Caenorhabditis elegans: one gene and its partners. The protein of the gene in region 2 purifies or fractionates together with the protein of the main gene of each other region. This does not show direct contact. Each region holds a gene or a part of one and is shown on either strand. Other genes may lie near its edges. The genes, in order: odr-10, odr-4 and odr-8.

Region 1 (4,742 bases), on a different chromosome or scaffold from region 2:
TTCAATAACGTTTATGAAAAAAGGAAAGACACTGTGTCAGTACTACTTTCGTTAAATCTTCACGGTTTGTGCAGATGTCCCTAACATGTTGTCGTCATACACAGGGAATTGAACCAGTGGGTGCCGGCACGCTAATCGAACGCGCTAACCGCAAGGCCACCAGTGTCAAGAGTTTATAATGCGAACCTTTTGTTCATATTCTTCGACACTTCAGTAGTCCCTTGAAAATTTCAATTAAAGGATATTAAGCAGTTTTTTGAAAGGTTGGGTAACTGTAATTTTTGTAAATACCTATACCAATGAATAAATGATGTTTCATTACAGAAAACCGCTAGATCTATACTTTCCAAGTATCAAGTACAGAATTACATCTGACAAGGGAAGTATTTCAACTTAATCCCGGACTTCTGAATGAAACCTATGTCATTTCGAAGAAGACTCTTTAAGTAGGTCCCTACAAAACAATTAGCGGCAGAGGAGCACTTTGACCTGGCAAAATATCGCTCTGAAAACTTTTCAGTGCATTTTTTCACAACTTTCAAGGCCCGTAGAATGGCTCCAAATGTGAATTTTTGTAGATTTTTGATAATTTCTAGGATGCTCAGGGGCCGGAGAGCACTCGGAATTTTTTTGGAATTTTTTAAACTTTTCGAAAAAATCTGAAATTTTTTGAATAAGTCCATGACAAAATTTTTCAGTGAATATAATTTTTTTTTTAAATTCAGAAAAGTTGTCAAAGTTATTTAATATCAAAATTGGGTGTTTTTACACAATGAAAAAATTTTTGAGATTTTTCGGAGTTGCAAAAACAAATTTTGGAAAAAATCGGCACCCGGAGTCGAACCCCAGACTTAAGAAATATTAATCAAACTCGCTAACCACTCGGTCATTCGATGACACTTTTTTTGTAAATGAAATAAATGACAAAAACCAGAAAACGTGACACTTTGATATCTACTTAAATATATAGGGACGTGCGAAATAGCATTGGAAAATGAGAGGACGCAGAGAAAAATTTTCAGAGCGACTTTTTTCCAGTTCAAAGTGCTCCTCTGCCGCTACATTTTTTGGAGGGGCCTACTTAAAGAAGGAGTATCGTCAATGGGAAAATTGTTTTAAAATGTAGTATTTGTACTCAAACTTTCAATTATCGCAAAAGAAAAACGGAAAAAATCCGTTAACATTCAGCATTTAGCCGTTGAAATCGACGAAAGTGGCTGAAAGTGGCTGAATTTGAATTTCGCGCGCAAATGAATCCTAGGCCACCACGCAACTTTTAGGCCATATTCGTAAACAAAATATTGATTTAAATGTAATTTTTCGAACTTTAATTCGCTTTTCTTTCTGGAAAAGTTCAAGAAAACTGGGAAGAAGAAATTGTATTGAGTATTTTTTCAAAGGACAATACCAAAACAAATAAAAATTCGAAAGATCGTCGTGGCCTAGGATTTCTGTAGTTAATTTTTAAAGATTTTTTCGACTTAAAATGCTGAATCTAAGCGGATTCTCCCGTTTTTGTTTTGTAATATTCTTAAGTTTGAGCACGAATACTACATTTTAAAACAATTTTCCCATTGACGATACTCCTTCTTTAAAGGGTCTTCTTCAAAATGGCATAGGTTTCATTCAGAAGTCCGGGATTATGTTGAAATGCTTCCCTTGTGAGTAGGCAGTAAATACATCCAATTTCACATAATCGAAGAGAGATCATTCATTTAGGATACATTGTGTTGTGATTCATGACATTTACTACAACACAACCAGCTGATGTGTGTGATTCAGGTTTTAATTGTAGCATCTTGTGATTGGAATAATAAATTCAATATATTTTCCCAATTCTGAATTTGTGGATACAAACGTATTATTTTTAACTGAATACCTCGTGAAATCAGATTTCAGATTTTGAAAACAATATATCTGACTATAAGTTGCGTATGTAGACAAATTCCAGGAAAATAATGGCTCAAACGACACGCCCCTGGCTTCAAGTTACTATAAAATAGGTTAGGAACAAAGCACATATAACCATGTATTCAGTTTAATTAATTTTTTGTTGGCGGTGGCATGAAATTCTCATAATTTCATTAAGATACCTTACAGCTCCATGTCGGGAGAATTGTGGATTACCCTAGTTGACACAGCGGACATTGTCGGCGTCACCCTCACCTTCTGTGTCAACATTGTTCTTCTCGGACTTCTGAAAACACGTGGAAAAAACTTGGGCACTTATAAATATCTCATGGCGTTTTTCTCAGTATTCTCGATTTTTTACGCCATCATCGAGTTCATATTACGACCTGTAGGCTAAACTGTTGAACTTGAAGTTAATAATGTATTAAATTTCAGATAATGCATATTGAGAACACCACTTTCTTTTTGATCTCAAGGAAAAGATTCAACTACTCCACCAAACTTGGAAAAATCAACTCTGCGTTTTACTGTGCTTGTTTTGCCACCAGTTTTGTTGTCTCAGGAGTTCACTTTGTTTATCGATATTTTGCAACTTGCAAGTAAGTACAATTGTAAAACGGGCTAAGTTTCGTATTTCTTTTGTTAGTATTGCTCTATTAGTACAGTATCCAATAGGAACAGCATTATAAATAAACTGCAAATGATCGGTTGAAAAAATGACTTGTGGAACCTTGCTGTAAAGGTGCAGCACTAATGTAGGATGCAAAACTTGTAGGGGTGGACTATTAGCTCTCTATTATTAGTATACATACTTTTAGATTAAAATACTATAACACCCTTCACAGACCGAATCTACTTCGTTTGTTCAACTTGCCAACTCTTCTACTTTGGCCACTTGGTTGCAGTGTACCCGTGACAATGTGGGCTAGTGTCTCATATTTTTTGTATCCAGATACCGAGTACACGGAAGCGGCTGTCACGTATGAGATCTATGAATTGTAGCTAGGAATTTTTTTTTTCAGCAATGTACTAAATAACCACTATAACTGGATCAAAAAGGAGAATGTATCGTACATTGCATACGTCTATGTAAGTTGATAACACGGAAACCATCAAACTAGATACTTTCAGTACCAATACGAAAACGGAGTAAGGCATATCTACCTCAAAAACTTGCTTGGATGCTTTGTTCATTACTTTGTCATGGTAAGCGGAGATGTTCCTAACATAGTTATTCAACAAGGTTTTAGTCGATGACGTTTGTTGTGATGTTCTACTGCGGATATGCCACGTGGAAAACTATGAATGAACACAAGGATGTATCTGATAGAACTCGAGCGCTACAGAAACAACTTTTCAAAGCTTTAGTTCTTCAGGTATCCCGATCTGAAACTAGAAACATGGTATAAGATGAATTCAGACACTCATCCCAACTATCTTCATGTACGCCCCAACTGGAGTCATGTTCATCGCACCGTTTTTTGACGTGAATTTGAATGCAAACGCCAATTTCATTGTGTTTTGCTCATTTCTGTACCCGGGACTCGATCCACTCATTCTGATTTTGATCATTCGTGATTTCCGAAGAACAATATTCAGTAAGAAGAAAACATATATATTACAAATTGACAAATTGCAAAATTTCAGATTTCTTGTGTGGAAAGAAAAACAGTGTTGATGAATCCCGCTCGACAACAAGAGCCAATTTGTCTCAAGTTCCGACGTGATGAATGTTTTTTGAAATACTGAGAATCGCACAATTGAGAAATTTTAATTTCATTGGACTTGTCATGAGAATGAAGTCATGTTATACAGTTTCAGGATTAAAAAGGATTAAAGGACGATCCGTTCTTCAAGTGCTATGCACTGCGGATCTGGGATTCAGGTACACTGCCTGGTGGTGATCCCTCTAAAAAAAACTTTTACTATATTTGGGCATTTTAGAACTAAAAGAGAAGTTAGAAGCAACTGACTTGTAGATAATGAAAAAGCTGAAAAAAGCTGAAAATCTATAAAAAGAGAACAAATTAGTCTGCTTTCGGTATGTTACCTGCTTATGATCTATGCTTGGCTCAATTTCTGAAAAGTAATCAGACTCTCAGTTTTTTTTTACTTCATCAAGTTGACTACAACATTTAAAAGTAACATGTTTGATGATGGTCGTTTTTATATTAAAAAAAAGGAATGAAGAGATATAGAAAATTATTTGAAAGTGGTAATAAAAATTGAAAACTTAATTTTGATGCTTTTGTGGTGTACAAATTCTCCAACGCTTTAAATGGAAGTTGTTATTATAAAAATGATATTAACTTTTAGGAGCTGTTAGTACTAGAAAGTAGAAACTAGAAAGCACTAGAAAATTTGGCTGATGATACCTTTTTTGTACTTGGCTTCTAAACCAAAATTAAAAAATTAAGAAAGAAACAACAAAATATTTTTAAAACATTCACCATTAAATTTTTGATTGGAACATGGAGCAATTGAACATTGTACGTACAATACAGTAATCTAAACATTTGAACACAAACATTAGGATAGCGGTTTCTTGAATTTGACAAAAGGTATGAGGAATTGAAAAAAAAAACATGAAAAACGTGAAAACTTTCCTTTGATGTCTTTGTTGAATCTTCATTTTCTAATTTTTTTCTATAGAAGTTGTTGTTACCAGAGTCCTATTTATTCGCAAATGTTGCCAGTTACTGTCTTTTTCCGAAATGTGGCTGATAATACTTTTTTGTTTTCTACCGACCCAAAATGCGTATGAACATCCGTTCGATTTTATTGAAAATGCGCTAGAGAAGTACACAATCAACAGTGGAAACCCGCAATAT
Region 2 (6,429 bases):
CCACTGACCAAACTTCACTGTACTAAATGTTGTACTAATAATACAGTAGATCATGAGTATACATGAAGCTTCCCATTAAAGTATGAAGCTGAATAAAAAACTATTGTAGTATCAATAGTTGTATAGTTTGTTCTTTTGGTCTTTTCGAGATTATCAAACAGAGACATCAAAACAGAGACGAGATTATCAAACAGAGACATCTTATGATTCTTCTATAAACACCAAAAAAATATGTAGGTCCACAAATAGTACGGTATAAAAAGATGGCGTTTCGTGGGAAGAGTCAGTCAATTTATTGCCTATTTCTGAAAAAAAAACATGACTGCTCTAATTTCTATTTCTTTGCTTCTTGTAACTTTTGCTGGAGCTGCCGAAATGTGTGCACCAGTGACTCAGCACAGCACTCCTCAATCCGATGTTCCAAGTACTGTCACAATTACTTTTCATAAGCTCGAGACTTCGACGACCACTAAAGATGAAATCCTTAACGCAATTAGGACTAGCCACCCAGATGTGCACGCCACAGGAGAGCCAATCGATAAAAAATCAATCAAGGTTACACTAACTGCTGTTTCATGCGTGACCGCTATGAAGTAAGTTATTTTTCCAAAAAAAAAAACATACTTCAATGGGAGGTTTTAAAAAGTTCCTATGTATAGTATATAATAAAGAAAATCGTATCTATATCAAATGGATACTGATAAATGCGGTTTTGTGCGAAATCTGTTGTATACACAAATTTCATTCCAGATTGGCGGAAGAAGTCTTGAATGCAGGTACACCAGTGGTTTTAAATGCATACGCAATGTTGTGTGATGGGGAGATCTCTACGAATATTAAACCATAAGATCTTTCACGCGAATTCTCGATACTTAATATTATGCGATTTAACTTATTCGATTATTTAAATGAAGTATTTTATCACAGAGAAAAAATATATAAATACTTGGAAAATATGCAAAATTACGTCATAATGCTCGGGGAAAACTAGCTCAGGAATGTGCTACAGTGAAATAAATAATGGATGCCAAGAGTCCGATAATCAATGCAATAGTAATCAGTATGGTTTTCGTTGTGCACCATGAATCGCTTGATCCATCGAAGTCAACGAAATGAAGATCCTCAATCGGTGTTCGCACAGCTTCCATCTCTTCTGGTGTCAGCGCGCGTTCCCAGCCTTCATCCACGTGTTCTGAAATTTGTTAGTCGAAATTCGAAGAATAAAAGATGTTTTGTACCAATGCTTGTCTGTAAATCCATCATGTCATCAAAATTCTTCTGTGCATCTTCTACATTATCAGCCTCAAAGAGGAAATCATTGATGAGAATTGCTGGATGTGTGTAGAGTACTGTAGTAGCTGGACGAGGTAGTTGATGGACGGTGATTCCAGTTTTTGGTGATCGTTCCTCTTCAACAACTTCCATCGATTCGTAGTGAAGTTCTGAAATAGATATTTTGAACATTAAAAACTCAAAAAAATTGTTTTCAACTAACCAACTCTTGCAAACAGATTCCTGACTAAATGATGCTTGATTGCTCGGATTGCGTCCTTCACTGTTGATCTGATTGGAACAGCTGCGCGAACTTCAATGTCAAAAAGAACTTCGTGCATGTTGGACGCAATATCATCGATAGCTCCGAGCTCTCGGTTATCTAGAACTTTTTGACGATTGGTCTCATAGTCAAATAAAACAGAAAAAAACATACAAAGAGGATTCAAGAACAATTGTGCCTCAATCGTTGTCTTTTTATTCTTCTTGATATCTTTGATCAGTGGCTCCTTATCATCACGGATCTCACCATCAAGAAGTGTAAATTCACATTGGAATAAATTATTCACAAAGTTTTTCGTGGCGACTACCAAGTCAGAGTAGAAGTCAGTTGGGCGTCCTGTGTCAACTGGAACATTGTGCACAATTCGAGCAGATGCGTTTGTCACCAAAGAAATCCATTCAAGTTTTTGAAATTGAACTTTTTGGGCACTATCGTTGCCACGATTGGTCACATCAATTATGGCACCGATGGGGGTGGTGGATGGGGTCTCGAAGAACACTGTGATCTGAAAGTGAAAGAATATTACTGATTTTTGAAAAGAAAGGATTGGCAATATCTGAAAGGAACTATTAGTTTTTACAATAATTGTTTTCCCAGAAAAATAAAATATACATTGCAAATTTTTCTAATTTTGAGATACCTACCATATTATCCGAAATCGAGTCATCCACATTAGCCGTTGTGATTTGATTATTCATTTTCTGAATACGACCCAATGTCTTGTGAATATGTGATTTCCGATCTGAGAAAGTCTTCTTATCTGAGAACCAGGCAATTCCAACCACATGAATTCCACCGGGAAGCATTCGGAGAAGACGTTCTGCGTGATCTGACATCCATTCGTCTTCCAGCATCTTTGATGATTCTGTAGCATTCTGAAAATAATTACTATTATGAAAATTGTGATATAGTAAAATCCTTTACCTCTTCCAATGCACTGCTATGAACCGGACATTTGGAAGCATATGCCACGTGGATGTCACCATCCGAGCAGAATGATCCGAGCAAAAAGTAGGCTGACGCCGGAATTCCTTTATCGGATAAAACAAATTCGTGATTCTTCGCTGACTTGGTCACCCATTCCTGGAGTTGGACGTCAAACAGAATCATGGATTCTGTAACTGGAATTGCAAGTGTTGATGTCATTTTTTGTAGATGATAGTTAGTTTTTGGACAATACTTTAGCGAGTCAATATAGTATGAAGGCTATGCAGAATACATGTGGAGACGTTGATTGAAAAGTATACAGAGGAGGTGGATGATAAGCCAACTGCTGCTGTGGCAAACAAAAAGAGGGTTACCATGACGATGAATACCCAAGAAATTGAGAAAAAGGCGGTCTCCTCAGGTAACATGCACACCCCCAGCTCGGCCGGAGGAGCGCCGCGAGCGAGAAAATAAGATGTAATCGTGAAATTAGTTTTTGTGCGAAGGCATCTAACGGGTAAAGTGGGCACGCGTGTTAAATATAGGCGTTTTTGCTAAACTTCAGAGTTTAAATTTATTTTCTGAAAGTTAAAAGAGAGATCGCTTACGTTGAAAAACAAATTTCAATAATGACAGCTGCGAAGAGTCGGATTTAATTGGAACATCGTACTTTCTTCGTTTTATTTTACTCCCTTACTTATTTCTAGGAATCAAAAGTTGTATTTTATGAATATAAATAAGAAATACAATTTTCTATTTGTAAAATAGCTGAAAATTAGCAAAAAAAAAGAAGAAAACTCAAAGAAAAAGACGGAAAAAAAACAGAAATCGCTTAAAAATTGTTTTGTTGGACAGTTCGACAGAGCGCACTTTCTGACCCCAATATTGGCAATTTCCAAAAGTTTTTGGAACAACTTATAAGTTAACTAAAAGCTAAGTCAACAATAACCGTGAATGCTCAATTTCGTGAAAACAGCAGATTATCTGATAAATATTTAGAAAATATTGAAAATTTAATTTTAAAAAATATTCAATTACCTGTTTTCATGGGGTCCACCTTTTCCAAATGCAACTCTGGATGAGATGTAGCTGTAGTCTTTGACTTTCTTCTATTTCTAGTCATTTCAATGTTTGAATCTGAAACCACGAGATTCTTCTAATCGAGAAAGAGTGTTTTTTTTTCGAAATTGAATTTTCGAAATGTTTTGAGAATCGGAACATAGACGAACAAAAGAACAACAATTGAATACTTTCTTCTATAAAACTGTGCAAACTTTTGCAAAAAAAAAAATAATCGAAGTTTTATAGTTCATCTACCAATTTTGTTGTCTAAAATATTTGTATTTTACCCTAGGACCCTTCACTGAATCATAATAAATTCCCTGAACGTCCGACTATTACAATTTTGATATGACGATAGAACAAACCTTTTTCCTGTTTTATCAACTATAATTTTTTAACTGTCAATCAGTCAAGTCTTGATAAATAAAAATTAAAACAACATTTAAAAAATGGCTGAAGAACCAGGCAGAGAGGAAAAGTCTTTGTGAGTGTTGGAGCACAAGTTTTCAAGGCGAAAATTGGCAGGTGGAATATGAAGTCTTTTCGGGCATAGAAACACCAAACCCTGAAATTAGTTTTAGACTTTTTTAGTGAAATGGCAGATTAAGATAGTGACGTCACAGAAATATTTATTTTATTACTCAATTCCTAAACAATTTAGGTATTTGGTTCCTGGAAAATAATTGGATTGATGACCGATTTTTTTCTAGGCTTCATTTATTTATATATTAAGTAACAGGGTTGTTTTCCCAAGGTTTCCAGCTTGGTTTCCAGTTCGACCGCCAGCTGAGAAATTGTATCCAAAATGATTGAGTTTCATTTAAAAGTGTCTTTCCATCTTTAAACATCTGACTTCGACGGGAATATTTTTCAGAAGCTTTTTCCCAACCCAACCATTCTTCCCAAATCATCTATTGGGGTGGAGCTTCAAGATAAGAATCAACGAGACGCGGAGAAAAAAACAAAAAACTGAAGAAATTGTTTCCAATGTTTCCCATCGTCTCTTCCCGTGAGTTTCTTCTGACCAGTGTCAGTTGTCAAGAGCTTCTCCCTTCCACTGGACCACCTCCCCTTCTTATTTCAATTCTCCACCTTCTTATCAGTATCAATTGATCTACTACATCATGACATTATTAATCGCATCACTACTTGTCACTTTGTTGGTCATCTTTGAACAGATCAGCTCTGTCGGAACACATATCTCATCAAACAGCTTATCCAGGTACTGGTTCATTTGATTGATGGGTTTTATGGATGGTTTCTTCCAATTTAGCAGGTCTGAAATGAGCCATTTTTCTTACTTACTTCATTTCTGATCTTATCTATAGAACTTTCACTTACTATTAGATGTTGAGTTTTCCAAAAACAATTATATTTTTACTGGCAAGAAGTTTAGAAAATATTGTAAGGTATAGTCTCGCATCAAGTAACGGCGTAGGTGCCAACTTCTTCAATTTCTGTAGGCAAAATCATGAAATAGCCGAAAAAAAAAGTAATTTCTCCTTGTTCCACTGGGCAAATAGGAAAGGTTTACTGTAGTTACACTCGTAATAAGGTACCTCACTAATCCAAAAAACTGTTTTATCACCGTAAAACTACCCATTAACACAATCAGTCATGATTTTTCGAGCAAAATAGCTTCAGCTTTTGCGACGGAGGCCCCAAATCCTCAACTCAACGAGCTCGTAATGAGCAGCAAATCTCAGCTTTTTGCTCTTTTCTTTTGCATTGCTCTACGATGCTCTGCGGGCGGTCTTTTGCCATTAACCAGATGGTGATCATTTTCGAATAAAATGTTACATTTACGGTGGTAGGAAACTGCTTCAGAGAGGTCGGGGGGTAGGATGAGAAAAAAATGGGGATAGGAGGAGATGGATGAGTGTAAGTTTGTAGAAAAAAGTGTAAAATGTTTGAGATGTCATTCTGAGGTTCGGTTACAAATACACACTATTTGATCTTTGAATTCACTCAAGATATCTGGAAATGGAAATTTGGGTTCCACCGCGGAAAATTCATTTATAGAAAAGAGTTTCTGATGCGGCTTCAAGATTACTGTAGCTTGCATTCTTGCTTACTTTTTCATTAGTTTATTCCATAGTTTTTGTGCGGTCCAAAAAGATAAACTAAAATTTTTAATCCATTCGATTAAATTTTTCATTGTTAAGGTTACTGTGCTACCCTTGATTTTCTGTAGTTGTTCACATTGAATTTCAGCAAACCAAAACGATATGAATATAATTCTCAATGGTGTAAAGGACCAATCGATGGAGATTGTAATCCATATAACTGTGGAGGTGGATGCGAATCTAAATATATTCGGTAAGTCGTACCCGGTTTCGACTAGTTTTCCTAATAACTTGAACTGTTAAAGATTCTACGACCAATCCTACAAAATGGATCGAACGATAAAAAGTTGTTTTTGTCAACAAGAGAGACTTTGCTCAATTCTCGGAATGCACGCTTTCTCCGGATGTAAATCTTATTATCAATTGAGCTCGGTTGCTCAGAAATTTGTCAGGTAATTTTTCATTGTTACCAAAATTAGTAATTATGATGCGAACAGAGATTGGCTCGCAACGACACTCCGAGAACCCGTCACGACTGATACTTTTGAAAGAAGTCATGCGCCTTTAAGGTAAGGTTACTGTAGTTTTGTAGATACTTCTTACATGAAGTAGTAGGTCTACGTATTCTGAGACAAAATGTTTAATGTAAAAAACACAGAAAAATAAAAAAATAGGTTTCAAAGCGTGCCTAACAAATATAATCTACAGTAACCTTAAAACTTTCTTGGCGTGCAGAACATCGGAGAGTCGGAGCAAATTTGTATTGTTTTTGAAAATTCTAAAAATATACATAAAGTTCAAATTTTAGATTTTGGAGCA
Region 3 (6,028 bases), on a different chromosome or scaffold from region 2:
TACCGTTACAAAGCGGATACAATGCAAATGGGTCGATTCATCAGTTTGGATAACTTGAAAGATCAAAAGTTTGATCCCAGCCAGCATATTGCTATTGAGAAAATCATCGTCAATGGCCTAAGTAAGAATATGTGAGTGTTAGGAAGCCGTTTGAAATACTTAACAATTTGCTTTTTAGAAATCAAGATTTCCAAACTTGCTTCAAATCGTGGCCTAAAGAATTGATTGCTGATCATGGTATCTATGTTTCTGAACCACTCGGAGGACAACTAACCCAGTGGGCACGAATGTATTTCGAACCGGATCAATTGGGCGAAGCAATTTAATTTGATGGATTTATGTTTTGTGAATAAAATGACTGAAAAATGAATTCGTTGGATTGAATTGTGTACAATTTTCGTTCAAAACAATACCTTTCAATTTTTGCGCAAGAATACGTTACATGGTCTCGATACGACAAATTTTCGAGCGTTGAAAAAGTACTGTAATTTCAAAATTTTTTTGCTGCCGAATTTTCATTTATTTTTCATAATATAACATTTCTTCCGATTTGATAAAATTTAACTATTAATAAATAGAAAGTGTTTTTTTAATCGAATGAAAAATTCCGCAGTAACGAAAGTTTGGAATTACAGTCCTCGGTTAAAGGCGCGTACCATTTGCATTTAAGGAAAACCGGGCACAGTTCTTTTAGCTCAACAACCCGCAAAAGTTGCGTATGGTTAATAAAATGAAATTTTTGAAGAACCAACAATTGGTAATTCGATGTTTCTAGATCGCCATGCTTGACTTGTACTCAACTTTTGACCAATTTTTTATTCCCAAAAAACGTTGGTTGGGCTATAGAAAGCATTTCTCTATAGAGGAAATAAATTAATCACAGACGAGAAAGGACTAATCCAGGTTTAAAAAAATATAGGAATTACAATGTAAATGGGTAGAAGGTTGGCAATAATTTAGATATATAATGCATTGTTTTTCATAGGCATGGTAATACAAAGTCACTCAAATAGCATCGCTAGGCGGTTGAGGAAGGACCATATTGTAGAAATGATCTTTGCTCCAGAAGCTCGCTGGTTTCCATGCACACCATCCTTTTGAAGTGATTGTTTTGATATCTTCGGAGCCAGTGTAATGAGGATCAAGAACGAGGAATCTGGAAATTATTGTGTTGCTATACTTCCAATTTGAAAAAAAAAAACTCACTTAGTCTCTCCAGTGGTATCATTGAAATCGACTCCAAGAATAGTATGTGCAAGCATATTTCCTCCGATCATAACAGGAGTTCCAGATGTTTCAAAATGTCGAGCAAGTTCACGAACTCTTTCGACAACTTCTGCGCCCGAGTTGGTAGCGATGAAACGGCATTCTAACTCTGAAATGTTTAACTATTAAATACAATTACTCAACAACTACTTACTGAGTAGCTCATTGAGCACAAAACTGATTTCAGTACTACCAATCCACTGTCGTGAACCAACAAACTTCGCTTGCTTGTCTTGAATATCAACAAGCGCCTGCAACAAATAAAACAACTTCAATTGAAATCTGCTTAAGCCAACCTGCTGAATTTCCCGATGACTTGGCACAGGTTTATCAGTATATCCATTCAAAATGAACCAACTCCAGATAGTTTGGAAACTACGATATGCACATCCCCATCCACTATCATCAATTCCATCTTGCATGTAATGATGATAATTGTACGGCCCATTTACAGTGGTTATTTCACCAACTGGTTGATCTGAAAATTAATTCTGAGTCTTTGCTTGTTTAGACCCAAAATTGCCAAAAACTTCCGCATTTCGTTATGAAACGTTCTGAAAATTTCTCAAAAGAAAAAGTTAATGCGGTTTTTTTTTCAGCTAAAATCTCGAATTTTGACAACTTGATGATTCAAACTTCCGCAATTTCCGGGTCTGTCAAGTTGGCAAAATTTGATGTCTCATTACGAAATTCTGTAGTTTTGGGTCCAACAAAGCAATGCCTCAAATTTCGGTACTCCATTTTTAAACATACAATTTGTTATAGACAAATGTGGCTCTCGAATGAGCTTCTTGTTGGTCAAACGAGCACTCTCTGAGTGGAGAGCCAACGCTTGAGACAATCGAAGAACTGGCTTAGATGATGGCAAGTTGAACAACTTGTGAAGACGAATACGGTAATTTCCTAGAAAATTGAATTTTTATAGAAGTTGAAACGCTTTCTATGAATACTTTGTTCATTGTCCGTCCATTTAGTTGGAAGTTGGAGATGAAGTAGAGAAACCCATCCAGGTGGAAGATAAGTTGCAGATGTGGTCGTTGTTACTCCGCGCTGCAAGATATCAATCGATATAAAAAATATTACATTTCAATTTTTACCCCAGCTCTTATTCCATTGACTGTAACCATCATTGTATTGTTAGCTCTTCTATTGAATGCCTCACGTGATCGTTTGTACAAATCCAGTGAAGAATCTCCAAAGAACGCTGGGAAAACTACCTCACCAATTGTGACGAGCCGAGTGAAATGTTTGTTATCTAAATTACGAATTTAATATCTTTATAAAATAACAAAATTCTTTACCCTTGGTAACCTTAACTGTTGGAACCAGCTTTTGATCTTCCGTATCATTAGATGTATCCCTAGTGAGAGATTGCATGGCAGTGAATTCGATAACATCCTGAAATTCCGTCAATCATATTAATTTTAGACAGTATTTCCAAACCTTATATGGTACAGCGCCTTTCGAGAATTTATCAAGATACTTCTGTTGAGCAGCTTCTGGCTTCTGCTCACGGATCACCAACCCGTGTTCAGCGTTTAGATATGTGAAACGAAAAGAAGCCATTGAAAGACGTTCGGCAGCAGATTTGACATCTTCTTGTTCACGACCTGCTCGAAGTGACCACTCGTATCCAACCTGAAACGGACCGTTTTTATTCAATAATTTAAAGATCTTATGGGAACGTACTCTGCTGACACAACTAGCTCCTTCCATAAGAACATGTTCATTGTTGAACATCACATTCATATCCAAAAATTCGCTGATACTTCGATTTTCAAGCATTCGAGATGTCAGCTGAAGGGTGAACTGCCCGCCAGGAAGAATCTGTGATTGTCCATCAATATTCAAGTTTCCAACCAGTTCAATATCTGAATTAAATCTCAGTTTTTAATAATATTATTCCATTAATTACCAGCAGACAGAGAGCTCTCCAAGAATTGTCTGTTCGATTCAGTCAGATCTTCAGCGTAGGCGAATAGCACATGGATAACCTGTTTCCGAGCTTTACGTCCGAAAACGAATCCGCCAATTGTCGTATTAATTTCGTTGGCATTGGATTTGGAGAACGAGCGGAGGTTGGCGTAATTCTTAAAATATTTCGTGTGAAATCTTTTATCTCGCAAGACTGATTTTGGAGTGTTTTCAGATTTTATTTCGTTTTTTTCCGTTTTTCAACTAGTATAGAAAATCGAATAATTTCAGCACTTCTTAAAACTTTCATAGCTCATTTCCACATAAATTACCTGAAACATTGCCTGCGCATCAATAAACCACAATTCATTCACAGGAGGTGGAGGTGTTGATTGTGGAGCCATCTGAGTTGGTCCAATTAGTGAGACAGTTTGAGAATTCGTCATTCTTCTTCTCTTCCAATCACCTTTCAAAAGATAATAATAGTTTATGGATATTACCACGAATCACGAGAGAATAATATTGAAATGTGTCATTTATACGACCAGCGAGCTGAATATGGGGACTTGTAGAAGGGGATTTTGCAATAGAGAGATGAATAATTTAAATTATTTGTGTATTTTACAAAGAAAACGAGAATAAATCAATCGATAAACGGAAGAAGCGGGTGGGACTAATAAATAAATTGCAATTTGTTTGGGCATTTAACAGAAAAGGATAGTTTAGAAAAAAATGGGAGAAGAAAAATTTTGTTTCAATTCTCAACCTATCTACACCCTAGAAATCGTATCACATTACAAGAAAAAGCGATTAAAAGTCCAATAATTAGACATAAACATTTTAGGAAAGAACAAAATAACGATGAAAACGCCTGTAGATCGAATGTAGACGGCTGCTATGCTGTTGTGCCCGCTTCAATCAATGAGTTGTTCTGAAAAGATATACGAGTTAGTGGGTTGGTTGTCATGGGTAACTTGTGCGGAGCAGGTGATACCAGAAAAGCTAATAACGAGAGAAGACGGGAGAAGCACGAAAATGAGATTAGGTTTGCTATTATTTCATTCTTTGAATGGGGAGTTGGTAATTCGCGTAATTTCTCATCCCTGTGGTACGGTTTTTCCTTCTTTTTTTTTGAATAAAAATATTATGTATCTAATTCAATTCCCATAAGATTGTGAGAATACTTCGTTTTTACAACAAATCTAACATGAAATTTCCTCATAATCGTATGAGAATTGAATTAGGTAACATTTTCATTAGAAAAAATAGTGAAACCAGTAAAATTGAGAACTTATCGAAAAAAAACCACCAAAAAACGGTGGAAAACAATGCCACAGGCTTGCAAAACTACGCGCTGCCTCTCTCTGTGCGACCTTGATTTTGCAAAATTCACGTTTAATTTCATCGTTTAATTTCAACATTCCCAAAACTAAATTTTAAACAAAAATTTCCAACCTACCAACGAGACTCTATGAATGTGCTAACACGATTGAAGATAGCACGTCCTCCACGATAAGCCAAATATCCCAAAGATCCCCAGACAACAATACGGACGCCAGTGGAGAAAACCTGGAAATAAAGAAATGAAAGAATTAAAATAACTTCAGATTAATTTACCTTTGTTCCGAGGCTTGGTGGTGGGATGTTCATAAGTGGATCAAAATCAATATTTGTATTCCATTTGTTAACAATTCCTGGAGTATGTCCGATTCCAACGACAGCAACAACTGTCAACGGTTGAAATTGTTGCCCAGTTGTTCCACGAAGCCATTGTGCACGTTTTTCGACTGAGTTCCGGTGTACGAGCATATGCAAAGCATGCGTCATGTAGGCATCACGCTCTTCCACAAAGATTTGGGATAGTTGTGGGAAATCATCAGCCATCTCGGCGAGAAGTTGCTCCAGAAGGTCACGTTGCTTGCATCGTTCCACCTATAATTTTGGAATATTTTTGGAAAAGGTTGAATAATTAAATACCTCTTCTGCAGTTATCTTCTCACGATGTGAAAATGCAACGTGGAAGAAGAAGCGAATTTTTTGCCAGATGGAGAGAGAAGCCAGTGCACGTTGAAGTGTAACTTGAATAGGACGATCACCGAGAACTACACGACAATTCTGAAATAGTTACTTTGTAAATAAAACTTTTTAAATACTCAAACCTCAGTTGCAACTGCTGCACGATGAGCAGCACGGAATTCTCCTCCGGGAGCCATGGAAAGTTCACGTGTTACATGCGCTGACATTGACAGGAGAAGAACGTGCAGAATTCCTTGAATCGCGCCGTTCTTAAAAAAGTTGAAAATATTACAACATTACAACAACAAAAATATGAGAACTCACTTGTTTCATGGTCTGAATAATTTTTTGAGAGTTGAGATCTTTCGCTTCGCTCAAAAGCCGAGCCTCATCCATCGATATGATTGAAATTCGTGATGGACACAGCTCAAGCATGACAAAATCAGGTTGCACAGCACGAATTGTGTTGGATACGTCTTCCTGCGACTCTTTTGAAAAGTGAGCTGTACCGATGAGATAAATGGTGGAGTCGAGAATCGCTTTCTTCCATTCTTCATCAGAATCGCTCAGCACGGGGTTGCGTGGAGGAATCGCCAGATTTGTAGGCCATTTGAGCACTGTTACTGTAATTATAGAATATAGATATCAGTGTTACATCGAACTGGAGTTTTAAGAAACCTGTATTGGCATTTGGGACGAAGTCATCTGCTCTTTTCCTTCCGAAATGGTACCCTCCACAAACAGGATTGTTCACCACTGCACCATCTTCTGTTGCTTCAGGAGCTTGTTCCAGCTCATAATCCAACTCGGCATCATCTCCAACATGCTCATC

The links.
Region 1: the proteins of odr-4 (region 2) and odr-10 purify together in Caenorhabditis elegans (affinity purification with western blotting, with the first as the bait; one study listed by BioGRID). This does not show direct contact.
Region 3: the proteins of odr-4 (region 2) and odr-8 purify together in Caenorhabditis elegans (affinity purification with western blotting, with the first as the bait; one study listed by BioGRID). This does not show direct contact.

The regions. Positions count from the first base shown.
Region 1 is NC_003284.9:6,863,298-6,868,039, reverse strand, and holds odr-10 (Serpentine receptor class r-10), read left to right. Parts: upstream 1-2,100; 5' UTR 2,101-2,104; coding exon 2,105-2,299; intron 2,300-2,346; coding exon 2,347-2,510; intron 2,511-2,756; coding exon 2,757-2,891; intron 2,892-2,933; coding exon 2,934-3,000; intron 3,001-3,042; coding exon 3,043-3,117; intron 3,118-3,161; coding exon 3,162-3,287; intron 3,288-3,331; coding exon 3,332-3,509; intron 3,510-3,558; coding exon 3,559-3,638; 3' UTR 3,639-3,725; downstream 3,726-4,742. Other genes in the region: nep-4 (Peptidase M13 C-terminal domain-containing protein), read left to right, coding at 4,626-4,711. UniProt on the Caenorhabditis elegans protein: An odorant receptor which affects chemotaxis to the volatile odorant diacetyl. Specifies AWA neuronal cell fate via the odr-7 pathway.
Region 2 is NC_003281.10:6,728,410-6,734,838, reverse strand, and holds odr-4 (Odorant response abnormal protein 4), read right to left. Parts: upstream 4,040-6,429; 5' UTR 3,606-4,039; coding exon 3,521-3,605; intron 3,186-3,520; exon of another isoform or gene 3,091-3,185; intron 2,677-3,090; coding exon 2,480-2,676; intron 2,431-2,479; coding exon 2,200-2,430; intron 2,061-2,199; coding exon 1,709-2,060; intron 1,661-1,708; coding exon of another isoform or gene 1,655-1,660; coding exon 1,496-1,654; intron 1,443-1,495; coding exon 1,239-1,442; intron 1,193-1,238; coding exon 993-1,192; 3' UTR 903-992; downstream 1-902. Other genes in the region: Y102E9.3 (HMA domain-containing protein), read left to right, coding at 319-593, 751-847; Y102E9.5 (uncharacterized protein), read left to right, coding at 4,669-4,766, 5,759-5,863, 5,916-6,062, 6,108-6,179, 6,419-6,429. UniProt on the Caenorhabditis elegans protein: Required, with oct-8, for the localization of a subset of 7 transmembrane domain odorant receptors, including odr-10, to the cilia of olfactory neurons AWA and AWC.
Region 3 is NC_003282.8:6,579,035-6,585,062, forward strand, and holds odr-8 (Ufm1-specific protease), read right to left. Parts: upstream 3,671-6,028; 5' UTR 3,627-3,670; coding exon 3,513-3,626; intron 3,357-3,512; coding exon 3,182-3,356; intron 3,138-3,181; coding exon 2,956-3,137; intron 2,905-2,955; coding exon 2,710-2,904; intron 2,665-2,709; coding exon 2,568-2,664; intron 2,522-2,567; coding exon 2,364-2,521; intron 2,317-2,363; coding exon 2,217-2,316; intron 2,170-2,216; coding exon 2,020-2,169; intron 1,745-2,019; coding exon 1,563-1,744; intron 1,518-1,562; coding exon 1,421-1,517; intron 1,376-1,420; coding exon 1,207-1,375; intron 1,157-1,206; coding exon 1,006-1,156; 3' UTR 802-1,005; downstream 1-801. Other genes in the region: C43G2.3 (uncharacterized protein), read left to right, coding at 1-131, 179-326; F38A5.2 (TraB domain-containing protein), read right to left, coding at 4,111-4,111, 4,640-4,749, 4,798-5,112, 5,158-5,295, 5,340-5,465, 5,521-5,819, 5,875-6,028. UniProt on the Caenorhabditis elegans protein: Thiol protease which recognizes and hydrolyzes the peptide bond at the C-terminal Gly of ufm-1, a ubiquitin-like modifier protein bound to a number of target proteins.